4 linked regions of the Arabidopsis thaliana genome follow. The protein of the gene in region 2 purifies or fractionates together with the protein of the main gene of each other region. This does not show direct contact. Each region holds a gene or a part of one and is shown on either strand. Other genes may lie near its edges.

What was found.
Region 1: the proteins of AT3G02360 (region 2) and GSA2 fractionate together in Arabidopsis thaliana (co-fractionation; one large-scale study listed by BioGRID). This does not show direct contact.
Region 3: the proteins of AT3G02360 (region 2) and AT1G72810 fractionate together in Arabidopsis thaliana (co-fractionation; one large-scale study listed by BioGRID). This does not show direct contact.
Region 4: the proteins of AT3G02360 (region 2) and AGD2 fractionate together in Arabidopsis thaliana (co-fractionation; one large-scale study listed by BioGRID). This does not show direct contact.

Annotation. Positions count from the first base shown.
Region 1 is NC_003074.8:18,047,900-18,055,261, reverse strand, and holds GSA2 (glutamate-1-semialdehyde 2,1-aminomutase 2), read right to left. Parts: upstream 5,692-7,362; 5' UTR 5,566-5,691; coding exon 5,389-5,565; intron 5,131-5,388; coding exon 4,957-5,130; intron 4,880-4,956; coding exon 4,235-4,879; intron 4,135-4,234; coding exon 3,712-4,134; 3' UTR 3,484-3,711; downstream 1-3,483. Other genes in the region: SWEET11 (Nodulin MtN3 family protein), read left to right, coding at 599-650, 785-821, 925-1,135, 1,238-1,399, 1,495-1,614, 2,161-2,448; DCF (HXXXD-type acyl-transferase family protein), read right to left, coding at 5,967-6,827. UniProt on the Arabidopsis thaliana protein: Transaminase converting glutamate 1-semialdehyde (GSA) to 5-aminolevulinate (ALA). Involved in the biosynthesis of tetrapyrroles.
Region 2 is NC_003074.8:477,995-485,541, reverse strand, and holds AT3G02360 (6-phosphogluconate dehydrogenase family protein), read right to left. Parts: upstream 3,767-7,547; 5' UTR 3,487-3,766; exon of another isoform or gene 3,256-3,486; intron 3,065-3,255; 5' UTR 3,045-3,064; coding exon 1,584-3,044; 3' UTR 1,390-1,583; downstream 1-1,389. Other genes in the region: AT3G02370 (tRNA-splicing endonuclease subunit), read right to left, coding at 1-124, 208-597, 706-797; GAUT9 (galacturonosyltransferase 9), read right to left, coding at 4,364-4,639, 4,749-5,987, 6,124-6,294; AT3G02340 (RING/U-box superfamily protein), read right to left, coding at 7,281-7,547. UniProt on the Arabidopsis thaliana protein: Catalyzes the oxidative decarboxylation of 6-phosphogluconate to ribulose 5-phosphate and CO(2), with concomitant reduction of NADP to NADPH. Required for guided growth of the male gametophytes and interaction between the pollen tube and the ovule.
Region 3 is NC_003070.9:27,396,124-27,404,125, forward strand, and holds AT1G72810 (Pyridoxal-5'-phosphate-dependent enzyme family protein), read right to left. Parts: upstream 4,352-8,002; 5' UTR 4,271-4,351; coding exon 3,659-4,270; intron 3,576-3,658; coding exon 2,637-3,575; 3' UTR 2,151-2,636; downstream 1-2,150. Other genes in the region: AT1G72790 (hydroxyproline-rich glycoprotein family protein), read left to right, coding at 1-410; AT1G72800 (RNA-binding (RRM/RBD/RNP motifs) family protein), read left to right, coding at 1,143-2,150; AT1G72820 (Mitochondrial substrate carrier family protein), read left to right, coding at 7,334-8,002. UniProt on the Arabidopsis thaliana protein: Catalyzes the gamma-elimination of phosphate from L-phosphohomoserine and the beta-addition of water to produce L-threonine.
Region 4 is NC_003075.7:16,169,340-16,177,463, forward strand, and holds AGD2 (Pyridoxal phosphate (PLP)-dependent transferases superfamily protein), read right to left. Parts: upstream 5,385-8,124; 5' UTR 5,292-5,384; coding exon 5,209-5,291; intron 4,971-5,208; coding exon 4,894-4,970; intron 4,776-4,893; coding exon 4,708-4,775; intron 4,513-4,707; coding exon 4,396-4,512; intron 4,112-4,395; coding exon 4,049-4,111; intron 3,837-4,048; coding exon 3,732-3,836; intron 3,647-3,731; coding exon 3,596-3,646; intron 3,495-3,595; coding exon 3,174-3,494; intron 3,099-3,173; coding exon 2,892-3,098; intron 2,802-2,891; coding exon 2,508-2,801; 3' UTR 2,342-2,507; downstream 1-2,341. Other genes in the region: AT4G33666 (uncharacterized protein), read left to right, coding at 1-67; AT4G33670 (NAD(P)-linked oxidoreductase superfamily protein), read right to left, coding at 331-462, 552-680, 1,163-1,462, 1,547-1,775, 1,938-2,107; AT4G33690 (G patch domain protein), read left to right, coding at 5,859-6,027, 6,122-6,404, 6,510-6,798; AT4G33700 (CBS domain protein (DUF21)), read right to left, coding at 7,208-7,252, 7,327-7,598, 7,678-7,793, 7,867-7,940, 8,067-8,124. UniProt on the Arabidopsis thaliana protein: Required for lysine biosynthesis. Catalyzes the direct conversion of tetrahydrodipicolinate to LL-diaminopimelate, a reaction that requires three enzymes in E.coli. Not active with meso-diaminopimelate, lysine or ornithine as substrates.

The sequences.
Region 1 (7,362 bases), about 18 Mb from region 2:
CGAAGTTGGCAAATATACTTATTACGTTGTGTAAATAAGTTAAATAATAGGATTGGTGAAAACCCTCAAAATCGTAAAATGATTAGGTCATAATTATGTCATTGTATATATAGAGAATTAGAGATGCATACGTAGAATCTAGACATAATCCTTAAGAAAATAGCTTGCCTAAACAGCTGAGATTGACAAGCATTATTAACATAACTAATTATGTTTTATTTCTTAAGCCAAAACCTAAAAAAGGTTATTTGGTAACAGAATTGTTATTTGTACGTCAAAATGTATATGATTTGGTAATGGTTTAGCGTGTGAATTATTGTTGCGGGTCTTTTTTTGTTATACAACTACAATGACATTAACGCTTTTTAAAATAAATAAGAAATTCAAACATTATTCAAAATATTATTGTTCACACAAACATTTCTCCTTTTTCCATCTCCCACACAAACCCCATTCCTCCCTTTAGCCCTAACCCCTATATATACGTGAAGTCCCCGAAACACTAAGCTCGTGCCATTAGCTTTTACATTAAGAGAAAACACTTGCAAAACTAAGTGCTATCTCTCTTCTTCTTCCTTCTCCTAACAACTTATATACCATGAGTCTCTTCAACACTGAAAACACATGGGCCTTTGTCTTTGGCTTGCTCGGTATGATACTAACGTTGTGTTCATTTCTTATGAATATTTTTGATCAAGTTCTGCAACCCTAATATCTAAATTCTAGAGATTTAATATCGATTTCTTAATATCATATTTTTGCTATATTCTTGTATAATTTTCAGGCAACCTTATCTCCTTTGCCGTGTTCCTATCTCCTGTGTAAGTAATATATATGCAACAAATCAGAATATATATGACTACGTTACATCAATATTCTCCGATATAATTGAGTAACTAATATTCAGTTTTTTTTTGGACGCAGGCCAACGTTCTATAGGATTTGGAAGAAGAAGACAACAGAAGGGTTTCAGTCTATTCCTTATGTTGTGGCGCTCTTCAGTGCGACGCTTTGGCTTTACTATGCGACACAGAAGAAAGATGTCTTCCTCCTCGTAACCATTAACGCCTTTGGTTGCTTCATCGAAACCATCTACATCTCTATGTTCCTTGCCTACGCTCCCAAGCCAGCTCGGGTAACTAATAATTAATCCTCAGTTCATATGACATGCATGTTACGTTGTTCATAACATTATTCAAATGAAGTTGCTAAATAAAACATTTCTTAATGGATGCAGATGTTGACAGTGAAGATGCTACTTCTTATGAACTTTGGAGGATTCTGTGCGATTCTCCTTCTTTGCCAATTCTTGGTAAAAGGAGCCACACGTGCTAAGATTATCGGAGGAATCTGTGTCGGATTCTCTGTTTGTGTTTTCGCTGCTCCTCTAAGCATAATCGTAAGTACTACGAAATAGCTAATTTACCAAGTGATTAAATTATGATTTGGTAACAATAATAATTAACATATATATTTTTGTTTAATTATATATAGAGGACGGTAATAAAGACAAGAAGTGTGGAGTACATGCCCTTTAGCTTATCCTTAACCCTTACCATCAGTGCTGTCATATGGCTCCTTTATGGTCTTGCTCTCAAGGACATCTATGTTGCTGTAAGCCATTTCATCTCTCTCTATTTGCTATAATGAATATATATGTTTTAACATGATTATCATGTCGTCAAGCATCATAATCATATGTCTATCATTATCATAACAGTATATTACATGAAGTGGGTGCTTTTGTTTCTAATGAACCTGAGACTTTGAGGTTCTAATCATAGATTCATAGATAAAAAGAGATATGGATTGGCAAAAGATAAAAAAAACGATTAATGAAAGCAAAACCTTTTGTTTGGTATCGTCCTTTACGATAAAAATAAACCAAATTATAAAGAAACTCTCGCTTTATGTTCCACAGAAACATTAAAAGATTTAGCTTTTGCAAAAGAAGTTCATAATATATTAAGTTCTTTTTATCTTTATTGTTACATAGAAATTATATTTTGTACGTAACTTCTATCGATGCCGCACAAGTTTGCCATAAACTTTACTTTATTTCGTTTTTAACGTACTTTATTCACAAGCTAGAAAGTGGAAAAGTGAGTATATTAAAATGTTATTATGTTATTGCCACTACAACAAATGTTTTTCGTGCAGTTCCCGAATGTGCTTGGTTTTGCTCTCGGTGCACTCCAAATGATACTCTACGTTGTCTACAAATACTGTAAAACGTCGCCGCATCTAGGAGAGAAAGAAGTCGAAGCTGCTAAGTTACCGGAGGTGAGCCTCGATATGTTGAAGCTAGGCACAGTTTCATCCCCTGAGCCAATCTCAGTGGTTCGTCAAGCGAACAAGTGTACCTGCGGAAATGATCGAAGGGCTGAGATTGAAGATGGACAAACCCCTAAACATGGCAAGCAGTCCTCTTCCGCAGCAGCTACATGAATAAAAATACGTTAATGTTGACTTTACCCCAACTTGATATACCAACCACCACGTGTACCCCGTTACGCTGTCGTATTTTTCTGAGTTTATCAAGTGTGCGAAGTAGAGGATTAATTTTCCGGAGTTAGTTTCTCTACTTCTTTATAAAAATTTGTGTAATTATCTATTGGGGATAATGTATATTTCCTATTTTCTGATTTAACGAAAACTATTTAAAATATCCATCATGATTCTGTCTTTTTTTTTTTTGGTCATACTTAATGTTTTCTGTTTATTTTAAGGACATAATATTAATAATATACGATAAAGTTTTCTAATTATGAAAGATAATATTTGACTTGAGAATTAACGTGGTCACATTACTCTTCGGATATAACCAAAAAAAACAAAAAATAGAAAAATTTAAAAAATGTTTCAATACAGAAAATATTGGCATTATCAATCATAAATTCTTTTAACAAAAAATATCAATTATAAATTTTGATTGGCCTAAGTCAAGGAGTATTCATATTTTTAAATAAATAAAAAGGAATATTTTGTATGGACTGAGTGGGCCAAGTCTTTGTCTAAGGCAAGTAATATTGGATCACTTCCTTACTGGGCCTTTCCAATTTCAAATAATTCCAACTCAATTGTGTCCGAATTAGAAAGAAAGTTCGAATCAGCTTGGTCTCCAAAACATCTTCACATAATCATCAGGATGTTTCTTGTTCATTCTTTAAGACAATGAAAAGCAGCTCGGTCGGTTGGATTGAACAAACTACAGCTAGAAGCAAAGATGTGAAGAAAGAAAAATGCAACTAAACATATGAAAGACGTAACCTTGGGAAGTAGGAGACTAGTGAAACTTTCTCGTTGGATGGACTGTGTATCCACTTTCTAGGTCGTCTTAGGTCGGACAAAGACATAAATGGGCAAGGGAATCTATAGAAATGTGAAGAAAACTGAATATGGAAGCTTAACTTTGCAGATGCACTTCCCTTGTTCCGTGGAGAAATATATCGTCTTATGACTCAGATTATGATGTTGGCTACATGATGAAAAAGTGTGTTGCAATAGAAATCATTCTGTGTGATTTGTAAGACGTTAACGCAAAGCAAGAACTCTTTTTAAAAAGTCAACAAATCTTCATAGACATTTTGACTTTTCTTACCACAGTTAAATTTTGTGAGATTGCTTGCTTGCTCTCAATTGAATCTAATTTTCTCTACATCAAAAAATTTCAAATACATTCATGGTTCCCTGGAAGCTTCCAGAGACATTTTAGAGCCGACTTAGAACCTTCTCGGCCGCTGCGATAGTGAATTGGATGTCTTCTGAAGTGTGAGCCAAGCTAGTAAAACCGGCCTCGAATTGAGAAGGTGCCAAGTAGACACCTTCTTCCAACATTCCTCTGAAAAACTTTCCAAACTTCTCTGTATCACTCTTCTTTGCATCCGAGAAATCATAGACGGGTCCTTCCGTGAAGAAGAAACCGAACATCCCGCTTATGTAACCGCCACACATCGCATGCCCGGTTTTCTTCCCGGCTTCTAGTATCCCATTTGTAAGCTCTTTTGTGATCTTGTCTAAGTATTCATATGTCCCTGGCTGACTTAACCGCTTCAGCGTGTGTATACCCGCTGTCATAGCCAACGGATTACCACTTAGCGTACCAGCTTGATACATCGGTCCTGCGGGTGCAACCTGCAAAAAGACATGAGTGATAAAGGATCAGGACTTTCTCAATCTCTTGCAGCAAATTCAAAAGATTATTCGGTTCAATTGTTAACAACTCTAGCTTTACCATTTCCATGATGTCTCTTCTTCCACCGTATGCTCCCACAGGAAGACCACCACCGATGATTTTCCCAAGAGTTGTTAAGTCAGGTGTGATTCCAAAGTATTCTTGAGCTCCACCATAGGCTAAACGAAAACCAGTCATGACTTCATCGAAAATAAGAAGAGCACCATTGTCTTTAGTGATCCGGCGTATTCCCTCAATGAACTCTGGTTTAGGTGTAATAAAACCCGAGTTACCAACAACAGGTTCAAGAATGATGGCAGCAATCTCTCCTTTGTTTGCCTCAAAAAGCTTCTCAACAGCAGCAATATCATTGTATGGAGCTGTTAAAGTATCTGAAGTAGCTGCTTTGGGGACCCCAGGCGAGTCAGGTAGACCCAAAGTAGCTACACCACTACCTGCTTTGACAAGGAAAGAGTTTGCATGACCATGATAACAACCTTCAAACTTGATGAACTTTTGTTTCCCTGTGAAGGCACGAGCAAGACGTAGCACACCCATACATGCCTCTGTACCGGAGTTAACAAACCGAACCATTTCAATACTTGGAACAGCTGAAATCACCATCTCAGCAAGAACATTCTCTAAGAGACAAGGAGCACCAAAGCTTGTTCCTTTCTTCATTGTCTCAGCCAAAGCAGCAAGAACCTGCACTAGACACATCACCGTATCAACTACTAAACTTTCAGCTATCTAAAAATCATCAAAACTGGAAAGAAACAAACCTCATCATCAGCATGACCAATTATAGCAGGTCCCCAAGATCCAACATAGTCAATGTATTCATTTCCATCAATGTCTCTTATTCGTGAGCCCTTTGCAGAATCCATCACCACTGGTTGTCCACCAACAGATTTGAAAGCACGTACAGGTGAGTTCACACCTCCAGGCATTAAGTTCTACACAAAGGAACCAAACCAATTTCAATAATCAGAACAGAATGAAACCAATAAAAACAAAAACTTTATCTCAGATTATGATTCTATCTCAAGTAATCTTATTTTGTTAGCAATGTTCCTTGAAGGGTAACAAAGATAATCACTTTAACCAAAAATATGATCAAATCCCACAAAACCAAAGCAACAGAACATCAAGGCGTAATCAATCTGAAGAAACATTTCTTATTGACTGAATTCATGGAAATTGAAAAGCCTAACCTTCGCAGCATTGAAAGCTTCCTCAGATTTCTGAAGAGTGAATTTCTTCGTCTTCTCCTCTACCGAAACCGACATCTTGATGCAGCGACGGTTGGACGACGAAGAAGCTCTCTTAGAGAACTTTGCGGAGCACGAAAACCCTAGAGCAATCCCTGATCCAGTAAGCGTCGCAGCCATTTTGCTATATCTCTACGTTTCTCTGTTACTCTCTCACTTGCGCTCGTAAGTAGTACAGAGATAGTCAACAAGATAAGGCGGAGATGATCTTCAGATTTTAGATGGAGCCGACCCGGTGGTTTAAATTCAGACCCGATCCGGTTTGATTTTACTGGAATCTGAAACTCAAGTCAATATTTGTTTGTTTGACTTTGTTAACCAATCCGGTTTCTTTGACCCGATCCGGTCCGATAACTTAATTTGACATATATATATTTTCTGCGAATTACATAAATTTTTGTAATGGATACAAACGTGAATTCAAATATAACATGTATAAATAATGACTAGATTATAATTTTCCTTTGCTTATAATTTGGTAGAATATATCATAATTTGATTATGAAAATGTATGTTCTTTTTCAGATCTTCATAAGCTCTTCAAACACTTCCATAGCTGAAGTAGGAAGGCCAAGAAACACATTGATACTCTTCATATCATCACCACTTGGTAAGAACAAGATCACTTCCCTCCCTGGTAAACCAACCGGTCCAGAGAAAACCGGTTCTCCCCAACCGAAATCCAGTTTATGCAATGTCAATTTTGACCAGGATGTAATCAAAAGTGTCGCGTTCATACTCGGCCGTGTCCGGTTCACCTCGAAGTAGTCCATAGCCGACCGCATGAAGCCGTCCGTAACCAGCTCCACCAGTCTCTTGACCAAACCCACCGAGTGAGAAAGAGGGTTCCCAACTAATTCTCCCGATGATGTCACCAAACCGGTTAACACAATCCCGTTCCCGCAATATCCTTGCGGGAGACGTGGGATGAATCTTGACCGTCCATCCGCCGCAAACAGAAGCTTAACCCGTTGGTCCGGTTTAAACCGTAGAGCTTCGCATCTTGATTTCCAAAGAAACCCGGTTAAGGCTTGAAATGTTGATACCTTATTATTGTTATTTTCTTCAATCGCCATGATCTTGAGCTTCTCAAGCTTTTCGGGTTCGAAAAGAAATGATTTGTAGATGAGTTTTTCTTCATCGTAGATTTTTCCGGTGTCGGAAATATCTTCAATTTCGTCGAATTCATTGTGTGGGAACTCGATTTTGGGAGGGTTTCGTGACCGGAGAATCGTACGGTCCAAGAATGGTGGGACGGATAAAGGAAGACCCTTGGCCATCTCGCACCACGAGTTGAGGAACTCCGCAGCGGCGACTCCATCGAACATGTTGTGGCTCATGCCTAGTCCTAGGACAAAACCCCCACATTTGAAATTTGTCACCTGAAAAAAAAAACGGAACATAAAACTTTATCTAAAGATGTTAAAAAAAATCCATGCAACATTTTAGAATGAATCGATACCAATTTAAAGAAATAGGAATGAAATAATATACATTTAACTTAAGTACTACCTATTGGTTACACACACAAAAAAAAAAAACTTACTATTGATCGTCGTTATTTCTTTTGGTTACTTAACAATACTAATTACGCATGGTTCTAATTAGATGGTCTAATGTACCTTAAAGTTTGAACATGATGACCACTCTAGTTTTTAAGAGTAACGTCTGATCATTTGTTACTATATTAGTGTGTGTTCGTTACTACATGCATGAGACATAAAAATGATTTTTTTAGTAACATTGTATCATAATTCATAAATGATATTCGGGAAAAATGTCTTTCAAATTTGGGACGATTTAATTTTGAACTTCACGGAAGATAAATAAATCGTAAAGTTTTTGTTGACTTTCGAAATAAATGACAAAGTGTTTGTTGACTTGCCATTTGAGTCATGTCGTTAAATAGGTTAACAG
Region 2 (7,547 bases):
AAGGAGGTCTATGGAATTGAAGGAAAAGAAAGTGGCACGGCCCTGAGCGATATGACAGAACATCAATGGTGAAACTATGCACTTTTGCAGGACTTTAATTTCTTCTTTACTTGGTGGAGAGTCTCTGTACAAAAGATAGAGTACATTGACTAAGACTTGTTATGAGAAAATTTGCTTTTGTCGTTTGAAGTAACGAAAACAGCTTACCCCGAGAAGCAAGTGACAAAGCTCGGTTCACCAGGAGAAGACTTCTTGAACTGGCTGTTTGGCAAATACACATCAAACACCGGTCTTGCATCACAGATATGCATATCACTCAGGAGTTTGGTAACAGAGTCTCTGTCTTGGAAAAATTCTGCAGCACAAAGTGACTCATCTTCATCACTTGGTGTAGTATTCACAGCATATTTTGTAGTCCAAGGAACTCCATGTCTGCCTAGAATGTAACCAAGACCCTTTAAGTATCTATAAACCTCGTAGTTTTCCCAACAGCAGCCATATTTTCCCTCCGCTATTTCCCCATACAAGTCCTTCAATGAAATCACTACGTCATCCTCATCACCCAAGAGCTGCAACTCTCCAATTTCACTCAAATACCTGCATCAGAAAGAAGACAATTCGAAAAAGGAAGAAACTTCATCAGGTGATTTGAGTAAACACTGCAATCTTTAAAAACAAACTTGTAATGTTTCGTTTGCCACATACAGAGCCTCTTCTATGAAGCAATATGTTTTTCCGGTACGGATAATTCCAGTTGTCGTCCAAAGTTTACCCCTTTTGACCTCAACTTCGGCCATTCCTAAATCCTAATTCAGCATTCCAACGAGCCTTGGAGGATCCTACTCTATAATTTGCAAGCACAAAAAGAAAGAAATTGATTGTAAGAACTAAGAACAATTAGCTTAACACGGACAATCATATCCTGAATCAAGTCTCTCCACCTGAATTGTAATTTGGGAGCTGGACCACCAAATTGATATTCTTCGTCATCATAGCATAGTAAACCAGCTTCGTTTTCACTCAGCGGAGAACCTTCCCAGTCTTTCTCCTCCATAGCTGCTGAGATCAGTTTCAGTCGTTCAAGAGGAAACGAAGTCGCTGAGGCAATTCGTCGAACACTTGGCGAAAGGTAAAAATATATTTTGTTAAAGTCTTCAACTTTCGCAGGCCGTACGAGAATTCGGTAACAGAGTTACTCCCTGCGAACGAATTATTCCCAACGGGGAGACGACGATCATCGGAAGTTTGATTTCCCGTTTTGCTGGAGACGAGATAATTGCAATGACGTTTAATGGCAGAATGATGACGTATCTACTTACTTTGTCGGAAAAGTTTATATGGGCCGACCAAATTACTAAGCCCATCGCATAAACACCCAAATAAAAAGGAGTCAATGAAACCAAAAGTAAAAAATTATAACCAAAGACTTCAGTTTTAATCTTTTTAAGAAAAAGAAACACAAAGATGAGAAACTCAGTTCTACAATCATAAATAAGCCAAGGTATCTCACACATTGAGGAAAGAAACATACTGTGTGGAACTTATTATTGAAGGAGAAGAAGAATACAAGAGGATGAGAGATCTCAGATCTTAGATTGTCTTGCAATCTTGAACCACTCGGTGTGGAAAGATCCTTCCACATCAGTCCTTTCATATGTATGAGCACCAAAGTAGTCTCTCTGTGCTTGGACTAGATTTGCCGGCAATCTCTCTCTCCTGTAAGAATCAAAGTAGGCTAGACTCGCAGACATACCCGGTGTGCTGATACCCGAGTTGATAGCTAAGCAGACGACTCTTCTCCACGCGGACTGTCTCTCGATTATCTCTTTCGCAAACTCTGGATCCACCAAGAGGTTAGCTAGCTCTGCGTTCCTGTCATAAGCTTGCTTGATCCTGTCTAGGAAGATTGCTCTGATGATGCAGCCTCCTTTCCAGATTCTAGCTAACTCACCTAGCTTCAATCCCCACCCCTTTTCTATGCTCTTGGCACGGATAAGGTTCATGCCTTGTGCGTAGCTGCAGATTTTGGATGCGTAAAGAGCCTTCCTCACGTCATCGACTAGCTGTTTCTTGTCAACTTTCTGATCGGTCAAGATATCTCCAAACCCACCTGCCTTGAAGACTTTAGCTGCTTGCACACGTTCATCTTTAAGCCCGCTAAGGAACCTCGCATCAAGAGAGGATTCAATGGTGGGAGCAGGAACAGATAGCTCAGCAGCTTGCTGCACGGTCCACTTTCCTGTGCCTTTCATGCCGGTTTTGTCCAAGACCTTGTCAACCAAATGCCCATCTCCCTTATCGTCCTTGATCCCGAAAATATCTGCTGTGATCTCTACCAAGAAACTCTCAAGCTCACCTTTGTTCCAGTCAGAGAAGACACTGTGAAGCTCCTCATTCGATAATTTACCAACAGACTTGAGGACGTCATAAGCTTCTGCAATCAGCTGCATATCACCGTACTCGATCCCATTGTGGACCATTTTGACAAAGTTTCCAGACCCGCCCTTACCGATATAAGTCACACAGGGACCACTATCCCTAACCTGAGCAGCAACCTTGAGAACAATGTCTTCGATATTCTTGTAGGCTTCATAAGAGCCTCCAGGCATCATAGATGGGCCATTACGAGCACCTTCTTCACCACCAGAAACTCCCATTCCAAGGTAGAGGAAACCGTTCTCCGCCACGGCTTTTTCTCTCCTCTCAGTGTTCTCATACCATTCATTACCACCATCGACAATACAGTCACCTTTCTCCAAATAAGCAGAGAGGGTCTTGATGGTCTGGTCAACGGGAGAACCAGCCTTAACAAGCATGATAATAACGCGTGGCTTCTGAATGGACTTGACAAAAGACTCGGGGTCATGGAAGCCGTAAAGAGGAAGATTGCCTTCCTTTTTGGCTCGTTCGACGGTCTCATCAACTTTGGAAGTAGTTCTGTTGTAAACAGAGATTGGGAAGCCTTTCTCTGCAATGTTGAGAGCTAGGTTCTGACCCATCACAGCAAGTCCAGCTAGACCTATTCTTGTAGGTTGAACAGCCATTTTTCTAAGTCTTCTTCTCTCTGCCAAACAAATAAATACATCACAAATTTAAGAAAGATGTATGTAAAACAAAACAGATTCATGCATGATTGATCTCAAATAAACGCAACGATACAAACCAGAAATAAGATCCCCAAGATCTTCGAACACAGAATCAATAAATCAACATGACAAATCTCAAAAAAAAAAAAAGATCACGATCGTGGCATACACTAACAACAAGAGCGAAGATTCGATTACTTAAAACACCGATCTAAACAACATAATGGGAATTTTCAACGGAATCACACAAAAATGCTGGATCACATAAAAGTTAAATAATTTTTTCTGAAATTTCGGTACACATCATTTATATCGAAAAGTGATTGGAACAATCAGATACCAAACCAAAATTGATTGGGGAAAAAACAAAAAGAGAGAGAGTATGATCGGAGAAACAAACCTGTTCGTATCGCGGAGATGGATTTGAGAATTTTCCTAGAAAAAATTAAGAGGAAAAGACGTGAAGGAGGAGAGTAAAAATTGCAGAGATTAGTGATGTTTGTTTGTAGCAGATATATAGCAAATGAACGGTCTGATTCGCACCACTGCTACCAAAGTAATAATATTTTTTTCTCCTTTTCCCTTTTTTTGTTGTTAAAGTATTGTCAAAATTGGCCACTCCTGCGTTAGGTAAGAAAAGGGTGGGTGGTAGTAGTCGTTGGATCTTGAATTGTTTTCTCTTGACATCATATTGGTCATTGGAATTTGATTTTCATACAGAGAAAATATATAGTCTTTCCTCAAATACCGTGTGTTTGTGTGTTTTTGTTTGAAAACTTGAAAACCAAACTCGTTTTACACATCACATTTGATTTAAGCCGGGGTAAACCCAAATAGTGAATTCTCACTTCAACGGAATCCTAATTCATCACCAAACCAAATCCTTTTGCAATTACACTTTATACGTTCCTACCTGTATTATGCAGCATTCTAGAAAGGGAAGAACAAACCTTTAGAGTTTCAAAAAAAAAAAAAAAAAAAAAACCTTTAGAGTTTCTTCTATATGATTCTTAAGGCAGACAAGTATGAAATAAAGACAACAAGACATTGTAGCTTGGGAGAACATATTGCTGTGAAGAGTTTACAAAATAAAAATAAAGACCAAAACTATGACAGAAATAACAAGCAAAATGCTTCTTTTTTTTTGTAACCCTATATAAAGATAAACGTATCATCAGTTAAAGAATGCCGAGAAAGACAGAAACACATCGATCCGAGGTTACCTCTTCTCCCTATTTTTTCCTCTTTCCGGTTTGTTTGTTTTCATCGTTCTCTCTTTAGAGACCAAAATTGCACATCTGCACAAACTCCATTTCGTTATCAACATATTTAGTCCAGAGAGACTTGTATTGGTTCATCGCAATGTCTAGCCACGGTTTCATGTTTCCATTGTAATGAATCACTCCTGCATTTCTGATTTCGTCCATGCTCACTCCCGGGTTATAGCCTAACCCAAGTACATGCCATGATTTGTCCAATGATTTCGTCTTTGAATAGAATGTGATCAATCCCGGAGGTAGAGTTCCCAATTTCCAGAGAGTTCTGTCTTCATTCTGCTCGGAAAACATAAGAACCAACAGAAGATAAGTACCTAAAAGAGCTTTGACATGTCTAGGTTACTAAGGAAGAATCATACATTACATAGTTAAACAATGGACTTACCAGGTTCTGCCAGTAATGGTATTGATCGGTGCACTTCTCGCGTCTCCAGGCATTGAGATCGAATATGTTCATTCCAAAGGCCCAAGCACAGGCACTGGGGTTAAAGTTCTCTTTGATCAAAGGATGAGAGAAGTTTAAGTATTGACCATATCGATGAAAAGAACCAAAACATGTCTCAACGGCTCCATTCACCTTGCCATCCAAGTTGATTTTCCATAAACCAGTCACGTCTTTCTGCACCACAACATCATCGTCCAAGAACAAAATCTTATTCAGCTTCGGATACATCTCTGGTAAGTAAAATCTGAGATGGTTCAACATCGAGAGATACTTGGGGTTCTTGAACTTGAGGTTATGTGAATCTTTAGTTGCGTTCTCAGCTTGATTCTCAAAGTAAAACTTCTGCAACTTGGCAGACTCAAGCTGCCTCAAGACCGGCGCATAGGAAGAGTTTAAGAACTTGAAATCCTCCACGGATTTAATCTCAACATGGGCACCACGGTCCAAAGGACGCATCTTAAACCACACCTTCATGGCTGCGAGATTCATCCGATCTGTCACCACATGGAAGACATGCTTCCATGGCTCCTCAGCGTTCATCACAACCGATCTCACCACAACAGACACAGCAATGACATTATCAGAGAAAATCGCATAGTGGTAAAGAGTTGGATCCTCTGCGGCTGGGTCAGGTGGAGCATCCTTGTACTTCTCAGGATTAGAGATCCTCTCTCCTACAAGCCTCATGGCCAAACAATGAAGACTTTTAGGAACCGACTTGGCTGAAATCAAGCTAGCAACCGCACCGTTTTTCTTAGCCTTTGTCAACTGTTCTTGGACAGCAAAGATTGTATCTTTCAACTTCTGGATTTTAAGCTGTGTATCATAACTCTCTTTAGACTCAACGATCATCATCCTCGCTGTCTTCACCTTATCCTTCACTTCTTTCTCAAGCTGCCTAAACGAATCCTCCTCAAGAGCATTACCATTATCAGACACAGCAGATTTCAAACCAGGTTTCGACTGCAAATCCGAGAAGTTGATAGCCAAATCTTCGAAGAGCTTAAGCTGCTTAGAAGCATCAAGCTTTAGCTTCCTAGCGTAAGCAGCATACGCATTCACCAGTGTCAAATGATCAATGGCTTGCTTGTGTATCAGATCCAACCTAGTTTTCAATGGATCCGATTGCAAAGCCAAAAACGTCCTCTGCATATATGCGTTGCCCATACTCGGCAATGTCTAAAAACCAGACAGCAAAAATCAAAGCTCAGATTCAATGAAATTGCCACCGATTCATTTCTAAATTTGTTCGAATTACAAAATCAATCAAAAGCAGAGAAATAAAGAAGGAGCTCAGAGATTGAGAGATGCGTACATGATCCTGATGAGGCTGATGACGAGAGGAGTTAAGAACGACGGAGAAAGTGGCGAGGAAGAGAAAAGAGAACAAAGCGGAGATAAAGATCCGGTAGGAGAAGAAACTACGAAGTCCGGTAGATTGGCCGGATCCGACGCCTCCCCGGCCTCCACGGAAGGCCACCGCCATTTCCAGCGATACACTTCACCTTCACAGGTCAGTTGTTTCCAGATCGGGAATTTGTTTGGTATGGAATCGTCGGTGAGGTTCTTGCTTGTCCTCCCCAAAGACAGATGACTGAGTTTAACCTCTGGAGTGTGACGGATAGATCTCAAACATTTAGTGAAGAATACACACCTTAATTTATTTAATCATTATATATAATCCATCTTGCCTAAAATATACAAATAAAACTATTCATTTAATTTAGTGCAGAGGTAACTAACATATTAATTAAATAAATAAAAACAATGTAATGTCGAGGATGGTGACGACTGACGAGTGAGGAGACCAAAGATTTCCGCGTCGGTGCGATCAATTGACAAATCCAAACTTGTTTTTATTTCACATTCACACCCTTTATTTTCGTTTATTTTATGTTTCACACCCCTTATTCTTTTTCTTCTTTTATGGGCTTTGTTACAACAGGCTGTTTAATATATGGGCCATATGAAAGCCTAATCTAATTAAACGAAAAACGGCACGCTGTTCTGAATTCAAAACATCAAATTAAACAGTTCAACAAACTCCGTCGAATCTGTAAGAAACTCTGGAATTTCTGCAACAATGCAAGCACAAGTTTCACTGAGAGAACAAAGTAGCACCTCAGGGTCTGTAAAATAAAAGTCATTACAAAAAGGTTACCTTGAGAGATCTATCCAGATCATGCAAAACTAGCTTAAGAGTTGTCAATAACTAATGAAGTAAGAAGCTTAGTTATAAATCCATGATTGATCTTCAACGAGAACAACTATGAAAGATGGATTAACTTCACAAACACTTCAAGATAAGGGTTCAAAGTTTAACATGATTTATTTCACAAAACAAAAGGAATATATACAACTTAAACATTATCACATTCACGATAAGTGCTTACCATAAACAAAGTGGTTCAAGGATCTTGCCTCTGAAACCATGTCTATTAACTTGAAGAATAGATCACTTCAAATATTCAATTAACTATATCTACCCGGCAACACGTTCCTTGCCAAACCAGTATCGCCCCTTTCTGAGCTCTTATGTCTTTCATACTCAAGATCATCAGTAGGCAGCTCATACCGACAAACCGGGCAAGTATTCCTTATCCCCAACCAAGGTATGATACACTCTCCATGATAGAAATGACTACAAGGAAGCCTCCTTACTTTCTCCTCCACTAACATTTCATCTTTGCATACCGCACAAACATTGTTCCCTTTGTCTAACTCTTCCACAGCAAGCTC
Region 3 (8,002 bases), on a different chromosome or scaffold from region 2:
CCAAACCAAATCCGCCAGCTAAAGTAACTCAATACGTAGGCACAGGAAGCGAATCACCACTAATGCCGATCCCGCCGCCGCCTCCTCCTCCGCCGTTTAAAATGCCGGCTTGGAAATTCGTGAAGCGTGGAGATTACGTCAGGATGGCTAGTGACATCAGCATAAGCTCCGACGAACCTGATGATCCGGATGTAGCTCAATCAGCTGGAAGTAAGGAGGCCGCCGGGAGTATGTTCTGTCCGAGCCCCGACGTAGATACCAAAGCCGATGATTTCATCGCAAGATTCAGAGCCGGACTCAAATTGGAGAAGATGAACTCTGTGAAAAGAGGGAGATCCAATTTAGGACCCGAACCCGGACTTCATGAATCCGGATCTTCAACGGGTTATAGGCCCAGCCCAAGCGTATAGAGGCTATTTCTTTTAGATTTTGGATTTTTGGATTACTACTGTGTTGGTTTTTTTTACCTTACTTTTGTTTAGACTTTCTTATACGTAATTTTGTGGTGTATACAATTCCTAGTATCCGTTTTTACAGTTTTTAGCCCATCTTGGGATGAACCAAAAAAAATCTCTATACAACTAGTTTTTCTTGTAATACTCTCCATTTTTATTTTATTTTGAACTATGTTTGGATGGAGAACTTATAGCTTTGAAAAATATATTCAATATTTTTAGAAAAAAAAGAAAAAAATACTATAGCTTTAATTTTATATCATCAAACAAGAAACAAATTGATAGGTATTTATAAATATTTAATTTGATTAACTCAACTTTTTAATACACAGCCAATTGAAACCCCACTTCTTTGCCTTTTTTAGTCGATTCCACTTTTTTTTCCCTTCTAAATTAATGAAAAAACTTTGTTAACAATAAAATACATAATTAAAAAAACATTTGTAATAATTTAATAATTTATCAAAAAAATAATAATATGGCGGCAATGTTGCGTTACAAAAACGCCATCTTTTATGTAATTGTAACCTAATAACAGCAACGTGACGATGAACCACCACCGAGTTGCGTTAGAAAAACGCCATATATCTTTTATGTAACCTAATATATATATCTTAAACAACAGGCTTGGATTATTGTCTCTCGAAAACCTAAAATCGCTCTTTCTCTTTTCTTGTCATCTTCTCCATGGCTGAGTCTAGCAAGTTATCCGCAACCACAGTTGAAGCAGCTCCTGCTATGATTAAGGCCAAAGACGTGATTTCTCCTTCCGAGAAGGAAGAATCTGATCAGACGGAGATCACGAAAGTATCCGTCTTGAAAAACCTTGATGAGAAGGAGATGATCAAAGAATTCGCTGATCGTCTTCAGCGTCTCGAAGCAAAGGTGGATTTGTTGGTAACAAAGGCGGATTTGTTGGCAATAAAGGCGGATATACAGGAGCTTCTCATCTCAGCCAAGGGTGAGAAAGTTCCTGCCATGAAGACTTCTGCTAAGGCTTCTTCTGAGAGCGATGACTCATACATGGACACTTCTTCGGAGGATGAATCGTCTTCTGCTGAGGAACCTGTAAACAAACCTGCTGCAAGTGCCGCCAAGCCAGCTACTAAAGATTCTTTATTCTCTGCTGGTTTCAAGCCAGCTGCTAAAGATTCTTTATTCTCTGCTGGTTTCAAGCCAGATTCTTTATTCTCTGCTGGTTTCGAGCCAGCTGCTAAAGATTCTTTATTCTCTGCTGGTTTCAAGCCAGGTTCTTTATTCTCTGCTGGTTTCGAGCCAGCTGCTAAAGATTCTTTATTCTCTGCTGGTTTCAAGCCAGATTCTTTATTCTCTGTTGGTGTCAAGCCAGCTGCTAAAGATTCTTTATTTTCTGTTGGTGTCAATGGTCGATCGTTCTCTGTTACGGGATTTGACGCTTCCCTTCCTGTGGATGATATAAAGAGCGCATTGAGTAAATATTTCAGTTCTTTTGGGGAGATCACACGCGTATTTGTTCCCCCAAGCCACGGAACCGGTGGTTCCTTAGGATATGCTTACATTGATCTGAAAGAAGGAGCAGAGAAGGCGTTGGAACTTGGTAGACATGACGTGGGAGGATGGGATCTTGTAGTTGGTAAGGCTGAACCGATTCGCAGTGGAAGTACTTGGCCTTTTCCTGGCCGTTGTGGTAATCAGGGCCGTTGTACCTTCTGTTGAAGGCTTGAACCTTTGGTAGTGCATGAAGGAAGAGACTGCTCGTGGAACTAGATCACCTAGTTTTACTCCCTAAAGTAAGAAGACTACCTAGAAGAAGAGGAACGTTTTAAATTTGTATTACTTGGGAGTTTTTTCTTATGTTCTAGTTAAGTTTTTGACCCAATGTTAATGTTAACTCAATTTTGAGTTCTTTTGGTTTTAAATAAGATGAAAAAAATTCTTGAAGTTAATTTTCTAGATAAGTTTATTGTTTCTTAAAAGATTTAAAAGAAGAGGTTAAAAGACAGGTCGTGAGTACTTTTGTTAAGAGCATATGTAAAACTCAGTAGTAGTTTGATATGAAACAACTAGCGAGCATCACGGAACCAACCAGTCGTTTTATTCCACAAGTCCAAAGAAACGAAATTTCATTACTTCCTCTAATAACAAAGCCAACAATATCATCATAGGACGTGAAGAGCTTTAGAAGAAACAAACACACAAAGCTTATTTATCATTGCTCTTCAAATACTCCTTGAGAACATCCATAACTGAACCAAACTTTGCCTTAACCTTCACTGGTGGATTCGCCAATCTACAAGCCATCTCCTTTATGTTCTTAGAATGATAATCAATCTTACTTTGTGTAAACTTCAATCCATGAGCTGTACTCACCACCACAGTCCGATCATTCGCTCCAATAACTCCTGACTTTCTCAGCTTCATCAACGCCGTCAATGCAACACCAGTATGTGGACATATAAACATACCAGTAGAATCAGCAAGAGCTGTTGCATCCATCAACTCTTCCTCTGTAGCTTCCTCAACAATCCCATTAGATTTCTTCAACGCATACACAGCTCTATCAATCGAAACAGGGTCACCAATCTGAATAGCAGAAGCAAATGTAGTGTTTGCTTTCAATGGATTGAAATCTTCTTTAAACCCAGATTTGTAATGCAAGTAAAGTGGATTTGCATTAGCAGCTTGAGCACAAACAAGCCTAGGGATACGATCAACAAGACCTAACTCTTTACACATATGAAACCCTTTGTAAAACGCATAGATGTTACCAAGATTGCCTCCAGGAACAATGACCCAATCAGGAACTTGCCAATTAAACTGCTGCAGAATCTCAATCGCCGCCGTCTTTTGACCTTCGAGACGGAGGCTGTTGAGAGAGTTCGCCAAGTAAATAGGAAGCTCCGCCGTAACTTCTCTGATCAAATGCATACATCCGTCAAAATCAGTGTCAATACTAAGCACAAACGCTCCGTTTGCAATCGGCTGCACAAGCTGAGCCATGGAGATTTTATCCGCAGGTAAGAAGACAATCGAGGGGATTCCAGCGGAAGCACAGTAAGCAGAGAGAGCAGCGGAGGTATCTCCAGTAGAAGCGCAACCAACTCCGATGACTGGTTTGTTCATTTTCCGGAGACGATTCACCTGAGAAACAAAAAAATAACATAAAGTTGTAAACTTTATTGAAGATGGTTATACAGTTGTAAACTTTATGAAAGATGATTCACCTGAGAAACGAGAACACTCATGCCCAGATCTTTAAAGGAGCCAGTGTGGCTGATTCCACAATGTTTCACCCAAAGATCGTTCATTTGCAGATACTGTTTACCAAATCTCTCAGCCCAGAAGAGATTTGAGTTTCCTTCAAAAGCAGAGACGATGTCGTCATCGTCGATCTCGGGGAGTACCCACTCTTTCTTCGACCACACGCCTGATCCGTACGGCCAATTTGTTTTACCGACGCGAGAATCGAAAAGGTTACGCCAGAATTCTCCGTCGTAGCGTTTCAAGGCGGCGAAATCATGCTGGACGTCGAGGAGAGCACCGGATTGTGAACGGTAGACGATCTCGTCGAGGGAGTAGGATTCTGTTGAAGAAGGTGGAGCGTTGAAAGGGACGTAACGTGCGGAGAGGTTTTGGAGTTGATGAGGACGGCGACGAGCTTCGTCTCGAATGTTCTCATCGGGTGAACGACGGGGTTTCTGTGGAGTCTGTGGAGGAACGGCGGGAGAGGCGGAGGTGCAACGGACGGTGAAGGAAGCGGCGGAGTGAGGTTTAAGTGAGGTTTCAGAGTGGGAAGGAAAGTAGGTGGCGGAGTGGGGAAGAGAGAATGAGGCCATTATGAGTGAGAGAGAGAGTAAAGTGAAGAGTTTGATGATATTGATTGGATAGAAGAATGATTGTTGACACCTTTAGTCACAAGTCACAAGTAATTTATTTATAACCTAATAAATATTGGGACGAAAGTATTCATTTATTGTTTGTTTTTCATTTGTCATTCCAATTTCCAAATTATGTATATATCTCTCTAGTCATGAATTTTCTTTTGATGGTAGAGAAAGCACCAGGGAGAAATGAATCTTTGACGTTCATGAATCTAGTGTGAATTTAGTGTTTAAGATATCAAATATGCAAAAAAAAAAAAAAAACACGTATGTATGGAGTACATGAGACATGTGCCACACATGAAGTATATTCTTATGAGTAAAATGTTACTATTATTTGTATGGATTATTAGTCATGAATTTTCTTTTGATGGTAGAGAAAGAAGCACTAGGGAGAAATGAATCTTTGACATTCATGAATCATGTGTAAATTTTAGTGTTTAAGATATCAAATATGCAACAACAAAAAAAAACACGAATGTATGGACTACATGAGACATGTGCCACACATGAAGTATATTCTTATGAGTAAAATATAATGTTACTATTATTTGTATCTATTGTTCTTTGTTCTTCTAATATATATTTGTGATTTCGTCCCATTTTATTAATCAAATAAATATATTACAAGCGACGGAAACAAAAAATAAATAATAAATGTCACTATCTTTTTGTCATTTTAAAGGACAAAAATAAATAATGAGATGAGACTATGAGAGCAACATTCATACAAAGTAGACGACACTTCATAGTTCATATTAATGTATATAGGTATGGAGTTTATGATCTTAACGTTTTTGGAAAAGAAAAAGAAAGTAAAGGACACCACTAGTTATGGGTCCTCCTTTTCGTCACATTGGGCGGATTGGGTCAAATATACAGTCATTGTGAAAAACCAGCCCAATAAGCTTATACTTCAAATAAAAGACTTGAATTAGAATTGATTCAAACTCTGAATACCTCAACTAACCGTTGTGTGTTCTCTCTAAATTTGGGTAATAGTGTTTTGGGGTTTGGGAGAGAACGACACAATAAATGAGAAGGGATCCCTTTTCTGTATTTTAAAGCGTTTTGATAGGGAACTTGAGAAATTTGATTTCATGATTCGTGTACTTTTTTGTTATGTTTGTGACTCGTGATCTTTTGCTCGATAAAAGCTTTCCATAGTTTTTGTTGGTGCTTTAGTCTGTGGAAACTGCTTATGATTTGGTTCTTTTATCTCCAAGTTGTGGGCTGAAATAATGGTCATCACCAGTTGATACAGAACCAACAGTGTTGTTCGTCACTCAAGCCCATCACAGCTATAATGTTCTTTTTGGAATCAAATCACATGGTTGGAATCAGTCTAAGCTTGTCTACTCACTTTAACATCTAATCTGTTGAAGATAAGGATTAACGATGTAATAAGTAAGCGTGGACCGAAAAAGAAATGTAGTATATGTTTAGGTAGTGGGCATTTCCAAATACTATAGTATTGATTTCTGTTGTATATTTGATTTGATACTAAAATATGTGAAACTCCCAAAGCTAATTAATACTATATTTTTGTAATCAAGTTATGTCAGTAAATGATACAACGACAGAAAAATGATTTCTGTTGGTGTTTGGTAGTATCATACTATTGTCCAAGGACCACCACTGTTCCTATAAATTTAGCATCTCTAGGAGGAACTCTGATAAATCTTTAGATTCTTTTTTCATAAAAAAAAATATAGCTCGAACGATAGTGGAAGTGTAACAGTGAAAAAGAATCAAAAATCACGTGACAGATCACGTGCCTCTCACACTGCCTTCTGCTCTCTTCTCTGCCCAACGACCCAAGGATATGGACGCCACGTCATCTTATCCAAATCACAAAAGCGGATCCATTTTCTCTCTCCTCTGTTGGGTCTGATCCGAGAACAAGATCTTAGCCGTTGTTTTCGATGACGACCTTTTAGCTTTTTTCTATCTCTGCCGTCGATCTTCTTCGTCTTCTAAGAGTGCTCCCAGTTTGTCGCTTTCTTTATCCGTAAGAGTTTAAGACCTTAGTCATGAGTGACACGTGTCACCTGCCAGCATCTGATTTTTACCAGATCTTCCTTATTTCCTTAATAAATCCTTTAATATTCGATAAAAAAAAATCTGTAATTCAATCTTAAATTAAGCAAACCAATTTGCACATCGTGATCATTTTCTGATTACATTTTGCACAATATGGAAACAATATAAAATCCATTGATGATACACTTAGTTGAATCAAAAACTAAAACATTTCCACTTTATTTGTTTCGGTTAGGTCAATTTTAACCGGTAAATTTGAAAACTGTAAATGGCATTTTGTTACATAGAGAAATCAGCTAATCGAACCGGAAAATGCAAGCCGGTTTATAATCTATACCGGTATCTCAATTTGGTATATTTACAGGGGGAAAAAAACCGGAACCCTAGACTCGCTCGTAACAGTATAACTGTATAAGGTCTCATTTTCGTGTGCTCTCGTCGCGATTACTCTCTTTGAGCTCTCTCTCTCTCTTCTAACATCGGTCTTGTATTGGTGCTTATTGGATATCTCCGGCGAAGGAAACGAGTTTCGCGGTTAGATTTTTCTTTATCGCTTACCGGCGAGGATGATCGTTTCTTCGGTAAGGTCGATTAATCGGTTCTGTTTTCGAAGATGTTGTTGTTAGAGTTAGATCCGCATGGTTTTGGTGATCGTTTTGGATCGAAGACGTGGTTCCACAGACGCAAAAAATGCCGTCGTCTCTTGCTTTGAGATTTGGCTTCTGAAATCTTTCCTCTTTCGTTCTCGTTGAATCCTAATTTTTGTTTTGTCTTTTTTAGAAATTTTTGGTCTTTCTAATCCTGGGGATAGGTTACAGTCTCCGATTGTAAATAGAAATTTGCGGCGAGGTTAGGAAAAGTTGTACAGATAGAGATTGAGCTCTGAAACACATCTCAGGAACATTTTTTGTTCCTTGTTTAAAAAAGTTTTTTTTTTTGTGTGTGTTTCTCTGGGTTGGTTAGAAAGTGGCGAAGATGAATTTGGGTGCGGCCGAGGAAGAATCGGCTCAGGAGATTCATTTACCAGCTGATATCAATTGGGAGATGCTTGATAAATCCAAGTTTTTCGTTTTAGGCGCTGCTTTGTTTTCAGGGGTATCTGGAGCTCTTTATCCTGCGGTTTTGATGAAAACTCGGCAACAAGTGTGTCATTCGCAAGGTTCTTGTATTAAAACTGCGTTTACTCTTGTGAGACATGAAGGTTTAAGGGGATTGTACAGAGGATTTGGAACTTCTTTGATGGGAACTATCCCTGCTCGTGCTTTGTACATGACTGCCTTGGAGGTTACTAAGAGTAACGTAGGCTCTGCTGCTGTCAGCTTGGGGTTGACAGAGGCTAAAGCTGCTGCTGTTGCTAATGCGGTTGGAGGTTTGAGTGCTGCGATGGCTGCACAGCTTGTTTGGACTCCTGTTGATGTGGTTAGCCAAAGGCTTATGGTTCAAGGAAGTGCTGGTCTTGTTAATGCATCAAGGTGTAATTATGTTAACGGGTTTGATGCATTTAGAAAGATCGTTCGCGCTGATGGACCGAAGGGGTTATACAGAGGGTTTGGGATATCGATTCTGACTTATGCGCCGTCTAATGCTGTTTGGTGGGCGTCTTACTCTGTTGCACAGCGGATGGTTTGGGGTGGAATTGGGTGT
Region 4 (8,124 bases), on a different chromosome or scaffold from region 2:
GCTATTTGGCAATCCCGCTACGTATGACAAGAGGTTCCAAGAAGCTATTGAACTTAGTTGCTTGTGATGGAGATTTGGAGATTTTTCCTAGTCTTTTTCTTGTGTTTTTTAAATGGACATATTGTAATTTCTTCCCAAGTCTCACCCTCCGCTGTAATTTATCTAATAATCAATTCGATCAAAGATGTTCCGACTGATTTTGATATCTAAGAAACTTTATTAATCATACCAACCAAACTTACACTCTTATTAACACAATGACACAACAACGAATGCATAAGCATTACAAGAAGCAAGACAAGAGTTTACCAGAAACACAAAGAGCTTCTTTTAGTTCTGATGGATTCCACTTGGCCATGTCAGATTCTTTACAGGCTCGAGAATAGCTTCAACCTCAGACAGAGTTTCTTGATCCATCCCCAGACTTTCAAGCTCTGTAACTGCTGCAACATTTTCTTCTACCTGTTTCAGAAACACACAAATTCTTTCATATTTAACTCCAACTTCCCACATAATTTGGGACTTGACAAGGAAATACCAAGCTTGAATACCTGTGAGACAGAGCTCATCCCAACCAACACCGACGAAATCTCCTTGTTTGCTAAACTGTATTGCAGAGCTAACTTTGTGATCTTCTTGCCCTTTGATTTGCAGTGAGCAACTGCGGCTTTGCTTGCAGACTACATAAGACAATAAAAGCAGCAACGGGTTATGACTTTCATATTTGAGAACAATTTGTTAAGAAGTCAGTATCTTCGTTTACTTCTCACTAAATCAAAATATCAAACAGAGAACAAACCAAAACTAACTCAAGAGCATCCCCTACTCTTCCAAACATCAATTCAACTAAATACCAGCGTCCATGTGAATCTGTTTAATTTTCTACTGAATACTCATCAAAGACCAACTAACATGTTAATACCCATTGGGAACTATCTGAAGTGTCTCTAATCTTGCCTATGAAGACTAATCACAATGATTGTACGAGTTAAGAAACAAAGATTGTCAGTCTCAGAAGTATAGCATCTATAGAATTTAACCTGCCTATGCTCGAGAGAATGCTGCACGAATGGCGTTTTAACACTAGTCTCTTATACGGTGTATCAATACAAGTGCTACAGAAATGTTAACAAGAATCACATTCTTTTGTAAAATGCCAAACCTTGAGCTCAGGGGAAGCAGGGTGCCATTCAGGAGGACCTTGTTCTGTAAGGAGGCCCATTGCTAATGGAGAAGCACTTATCACACCCACACCTTTGCTCTTCAAGTAAGGTAGTAAATCCAGCAACGTCGAATCATTAACGCCGTAATGACAGTATGACAATATCACATCGACAGTCCCTGGAGGCACTCGATCAAGAACATAAGTGAAAATATCTAACGGAAGACCAGTGATACCAATGAACCGGGTCTTCCCCTCTTGTTTCAGTTTCTGAAGAGCAGGAATTGTTTCACTCACAATCTGGCAGCAATGAATGAACACTTAGTAAAGGTTTGAGACACAAACAACGAAAGTGATAAACCCAAGAGAAATAAAGTGGTAAACCTGATCAAGAGACCCGAACTCAATGTCATGGCAATGAAGTATGTCAACATAATCAAGCTGAAGCCTCTCCAAGCTCTCGTCAATACTCTTTCTTACTCTCTCAGCACTGAAATCAAAACCTTCTTTATATCTACCACACTTAGTAGCCACAATGTAGTCACTTCTAGGGACTTGCAAAGCCTTTAGTCCCTTACCAAGCATTTTCTCAGACAGTGTTCCTCCATAATACCTTCACACACACAATAAATGCCAAATAAAAAAGTAAATATGAAACCTTCCAATAAAAATTTTGACTTTAACGATTAAATTAGTCTCAACATTCAGAGAATCAGCAATTAGTATTGAAGAATCAGTAATCTTTAGAAAATATAAAAGAAGAAGAAGTGCTTACGGGGAGGTGTCGAAGAAGTTGATACCGAGACGGAAAGCCTCGCGCACGGTGGCGACGGCATCATCTTCGGCGACTGGACCGAAGACACTTCCGAGCGGAGAGGCACCAAAACCAACGGCGCTAACCTTAAGCCCTGTGTTCCCCAAAGCTCGAAGCTCTATTTTCGTCATTGTTGATAGGATCAACAAAAAAACTGGTTCTCGTTGATGAGAGACGCGAGAAGACAACACTTGTGTTGTGTTTTTGGATATTTTTGCCCACACGGTGGCTCAACAAGCCTAAATTACGAAAACACCCATCCCGGTCCAATTTTAGATTTATTTAACCAATCCAATTTTATATTTTTTTGACGTTCTTCCTCAGTCCAATTTAAATATTTTATTTTCCACACTAGTTCACTTATTTGCACTTTGATTTCGTTGTTAAAATACTTTGCCAAATTGCTTGAAACACTGGTGTCAAAAGTGTCTTCTACAAATTCCAGAAAACAATGGAAACGACATTATTTTAACTCAAATCATGTCATTAAAGAGGGTGATGATGATGAGGAACGATTACAAACAAGGTTCTTCATTTGTAAAGCTGCTTGAATCTTCGACATGCCTCTAAGATGTTCTCTCTGTGACCAAAGGCACTGACACGAACGAACCCTTCACCCCCTGGTCCAAACCCACTTCCTGGAGTTGTAACCACATGAGTCTTCTCCAGAATCTCAGCAAACACATCCCATGAGCTTTGGTTCGGGAAGTGAACCCATACGTAAGGCGCATTCTTTCCTCCATATACATCATACCCGAGAGATGTGAATGTGTCAATGATTATGTTTGTGTTTTCTTTATAGAATCCAATCACCTTATGCATTGCCTGCAATGATTCAAAAGACAACAAAATAAATCATTTTGCATATCTGAACTAGTGGGAACTGGTTTGAGATCTCTCTTTAGCTAAGCTAACCTCAAGTCCTTCGGGTGTAAGGCAAGCAAGAGCACCAGCTTGAGAGATATTAGATGCACCATTGAAACAAGTGCAGATAATCCGATTGAAGTCTTTGGCAACAGGGAAACCGTCTGAATAGAGTAGCTTTTTCGGGATGACAGTCCAACCAAGTCGAACTCCAGTGAAACCAGCATATTTGCTGAACGAAGCTGTCTCCATAGCGACCTGTAAGCGGTTGTACACATGAAGAAAGATGTTGAAAAATGGACCTTTTAATGTTATAATCAATCAGTCTATTACCTCCTCTGCTCCAGGGATTTCGAAGATGGATCGTGGGTTATCATCAGACATGTACATTGCATAGGCGGAATCATACACTATTATAGAACCGTTCTTCTTTGCAAACTCAACTAACTGCGTTAGTTGCTCTCTCGTGGCAGCAGCACCCGTAGGGTTATTTGGGGAACAGAAGAAAATTATATCTGTCCTGCCAACGGTGGACAAGTCGGGAAAGAAGCCATTCTCTGGAGTGCATCTCATGTACTCGATGTTTCCATACTTTTGCACATCAGTGTTAAATTGCCCAGTCTGACCCATAATAACACTGGAGTCCACATAAGCCTGTATAATCCAAAAAAAACGAGACAGCATAGTTCCACGTTAAAATGGAGCAAAAGTAGAGAAGACTACAACTGCAATTTGGTTTCTATATGCCCAATTACCGGATATGAAGGATCCTGAACAGCAATTGTAACATTGGAACCAAACATAACCTGCAAGAAGTGGAATCAAGAAACAGCTGTTCATATTTCTTAATCTTGTATCAATTACAGATGAATAGTCAGCAATAAAACAAACCTGGAGACGTGAGATATCACATTTAGCTCCATCAGAAACAAAAACGTCATCATCCCCTATGCCAAGGCCACCGTAGAATGTTTTCGCAATAGCAGCTCTCAGTGGCTTTTCACATATGTGAAATCAAGGTTAGTTTGGATAAAAACTTAACAGATTAAGCTTTAAGATTTTACATGTAAGAAACAGGTTTAAATCCATCTTCTCTTGAATTTAGCAGCAGTTCAAGACTATCCATAATAAAATTGAAGTGACGTGCAAAGGCAGATAATAAAGAAATGATAACAACGCAATAAGGTGGAAATGAAGGGTGCACTGACCTTTGCACCTTGTTCAGCACCATAACCACTATATCCCTCTATTGTTGACAACTCATGAGCTTTCTGTCAGAGAAAAAAAACATGATTAATCTCTAGAGATTACATGCCTGTGTGAATAGTATAGCAAACAAAAAAACTATGCTACCAGAATAATTTTCATTGTTAGATTACAGAGAAGTTCTCGTTTAATAATCCAAATACGCCAAAACAGAAAATATGTTATACATTTTTGTCAAAATGAACGAAATAATACATGTTAGGGCAGTGTTAGTAAAATCAGTTTAAAATATGCTAGAGCCCAGAGAAGGGCAAAGAGCACATGAAGCTAAGTTAAGATAAGGAGGTACCTTTGCCATAGCAGAAGTGATCACTTCAGGAATTGGCTCAGTTGTGTCGCCTATTCCAAGACTTATAACTTGTGCATCTGGATATTTCAACAAGTGTGCAGACCTTCTTCTTGCAATCTGTTTGCATCCACACAAAAAAATAAGAGAGAGGAGCATTATATACAGAATCAATGAGGATATATTAACTTATTACACAGATAGTTATAATATTTCAGATCACTAGAAGCTTTCAAAAATGTTAACTTGAAATGCCACTCCTTTAGGTATTTGAAATCTTAAATAGTAGTACCAAGAGAGTAACAGGTAACAAACCTCCGGGAATAGGTATCCAGCCTGAAGTTTGGACATGTTTGAATTCCGTGACACTTTGGTCTTATACTCTACATACAGAAAACAAAATCATGTATTGTAAGAAACAGATAAACAGCTAAAAGACGATAAATCATTAACTATGTTACTAATCATTACAGCAAAAACAACATGGAGTAGGAACATTACCGATCTTCTCTTGCGGCGTAGCAACACATTTGCAAGTATTGACCCGTTTTGCCATGGGTAAGCAAGCATTTCGAGTTCTGAAGCCAAAAAGGAAAGCAAACCAATAAAAAAATGAATCAATGATCATCACAAGCAAATGCACTGTTCTCTGGCCAAACAACACCATCCAACATCGACTTAAAAACCAAAGGATTGAAATTTCCAAGTAAATTCATAACATACAATTAATTTCTGGAAATGAATCCAATTTCATATTCATCCTCACTAGATTATATCAGTAGCAAACAGAGAGTAAAAGAAAACAAAACGACGCACCTGAGATTAAAATTTGAAGGGGCTAAGAAAGTGGATGAGGAAGAAGAGATCATCGAAGAAACTAACTGATGGGTCGACGACATTTTTCCTGCTTCGCACAAAGATTTTTTCAGACAAATTTGCAGAGCAAATGAACCATGGGAGATAGTTGGTGAGACTGATAAAACTAGGGTTCTTCTTCGGTTTGGTCTGAGAGGAAATTAATCCGGTTTGTTCCGGTTCGGTTTTACTAGAAATTTTTGGGAATTTTCCAATTCAGTTCAATTTATTTATTTCTCTCTCTGGCTCGGACAATGATTTTGCTCTGCGCCTGCTGGAAAACGCCGAGGAATCGCACGATTTCGTGAAGCTGCTACTAGATATCTGTATCTGAGTCAATTCGATTTCGTGGTAATTAATCTCGACCAATAGGGTTCTCCAAAAATCCCCTTTTCGATTGTTGTGTGTTTACGTAATTTTGTTTGTTTTGCTTCGTTGATTTCGTTGTCGAAAGAACGTAGCTTTAGTGGAAGTTCTGTGATTAAGAAGCAATGATTTAGATAGCTGTAGTGGTCGAATTAAGTTCAACTCCATCTTTGTTTGATCTACCCAGATTGATTTGATCACATAACTTGATTAGGCTTATACTTTTTTGTTTTACCTTGGAGTAGATGGATCTGGAAACTGAAAATCGAATAGCTTCCATTCTTTTAAGAGAAGCAGCAGAATTGAGGAGACAAGCTGAGAAAGATGGCGTCAGAGCATATCTTGAGAAGCCTAATGTAAGGCATCGACCTAACTCTAGATTTCTCACTGCTACAGTTCTTGGTGTTCAGCAAGGTATAATCTTTTGTTGACAGACTTTGCTTCTATCCAACAAAATCTAGTTTTTTTTTAGTTTATCTCTTATTTGTTTCTTCTTTATTCCATTCAGCAAACAAAGCTGTGGAAACCAATGAGATGTGGAGTCTTCGGAGTAAAGAGATTGAGTTTGGTGAAAGGCTCAAAAGAAAATCAAGAGATGAGAGCAGCAATGGTCAAAGTGAGCAGAACAATAGGAGGGATTTTTTAAAGAGATGTACTTCAGTTGATGAGAATGTTACTACTACTAGTTTATCACCATCATCAAGCCGGAGCAGAAGCAAAAGATGGCAATCAGAGGATGATGATGATGAAGGCTTAGGAGATGTCGAGGTTAAGACTTTTCTCCAATCAAGGTATTTCCATTATACTCAGATGCTGCCTGATTATTTCCTTTACAATAATGATCGAATTTGGGATCGGCTTTTGCTGATAAAACTTGTGATTCTGGTCTATGATAGGGTCAAGCGTGGCAGAGGTTCTGTTGGTGCTATGATGGATGAACCGCTACCCTGTCTTCCTGAGAGGGAATTGTCAAGAACTTCTGATACAGGAGATCGGAAGCTAGTGATTCAGCCAGAGCGATCACCTTTATTGAGACGTAGGACAGATTCTTCTTCTTCCGACGAGGAGGAAGTTTACAAACGGGCTCATAGAAAGAGAAAGGAGCATAAGAAGAAACTTAGTAAGAAACACAAGTCAAAAGAGAAGAAAAGGGATAGGAAGAAGAGAAAATATGGTAGGGACTAGATCTTTCCGGACAAAAGTAATTGCCTTTTTACACCGGCAGTGATGTTGTATCCATAAGATGATCATATTTCATTAATTCTTGTATTAGTAAAATGCGAATAAAAACTCTTTGAAGTAAGGTAGAGAGTGACATATCTTAGAGACTAATGATATATAGGTAGTAGAGACAACTATTGGTGTGGCCTATGAGGGTTCAGATTTGGTAAAACTCTTTGAAGAAAGGAGAGAGCGACATATCTTAGAGACCAATGATATATATATAGAGAGAAAACATCTTGAAACCATAGAAAAAGTTGTTGTTCATGCCTACATTGATACACATTCGCCGGACAAGTGACAGTTTGAAAGTTGAAAACAAAGACTAAAGTTTTCGACATTCATAACCAGTTCAGTGGTCATGCACTCTGTGTTAGGAGTCTTCAAAATGGTGATCAGTTTCGTCAAAGATCTCCTCCTGCAACCACAAGCCAAGCAATAATTAATCCGTGAAAAAGAATTTTTGTTTTTAACTTATATAAGATTCCTTACCTGCAGAAGTTCTTCAATGACATCCTCCATCGTAATGATTCCGACTGCTTCTTCTTCCTCAGCAAGTTTAGGCAGCGGATTGCCATTCAATTGCAGGATGTCTGCATCATTGTCTTTTGACCACTTCTTGCTCTTTGACCCTCCTTTAAACGAACTTGCTCGATTCGGAAAGCTCTTCCACTTTTGAAGCGATCTTTTTGTCCTTAACATTCTCTCCTGAGGAGTAGGAGTTCCCTCACTATCCACATCCACTCGGGCTTCCTTAACACTCCCTATTAGAAACCAAAGCAAAGATTCTCAATACTTGTAACTCAGCAAGACATTGTTTTGTCGATTAATGAAGCAGTTTACCATTTTTAGAAGGTAATGGGTGGATTTTGTCACACTGTCTTACAACAACAGCCATGTGGCTGAGTCCTTTCTGGAATTCGTTCAATATGTCATATAAAGGCAAGATTTCTGGAACTCTAAAACAAAGCAAGAAATCAGCTTTTGAAGCACATTCAGTGGGGCTTAGTTACTTAGATTTGGAAGTTTCACCTTGGAATCCTTCTTATCGTGACATTCTTGACAGGTATTTCTTCATCTGGGTTGATAGTTAATAAGTTCTTCACCTGAAGATAATAGATATGAATGGTTAGAAGTGGAACCATAACACTAAAGAGGAAAATATTTGTGAAAAATGACTTCACAGAGAAGCGAGTCAAATTGTGGAAGTAATGCATGAGACTGGGAGTTACCAGAACAAGGCCGATTATGTTAGTTGGCTGCTCATAGTATACTGGAACTCTGCTATGC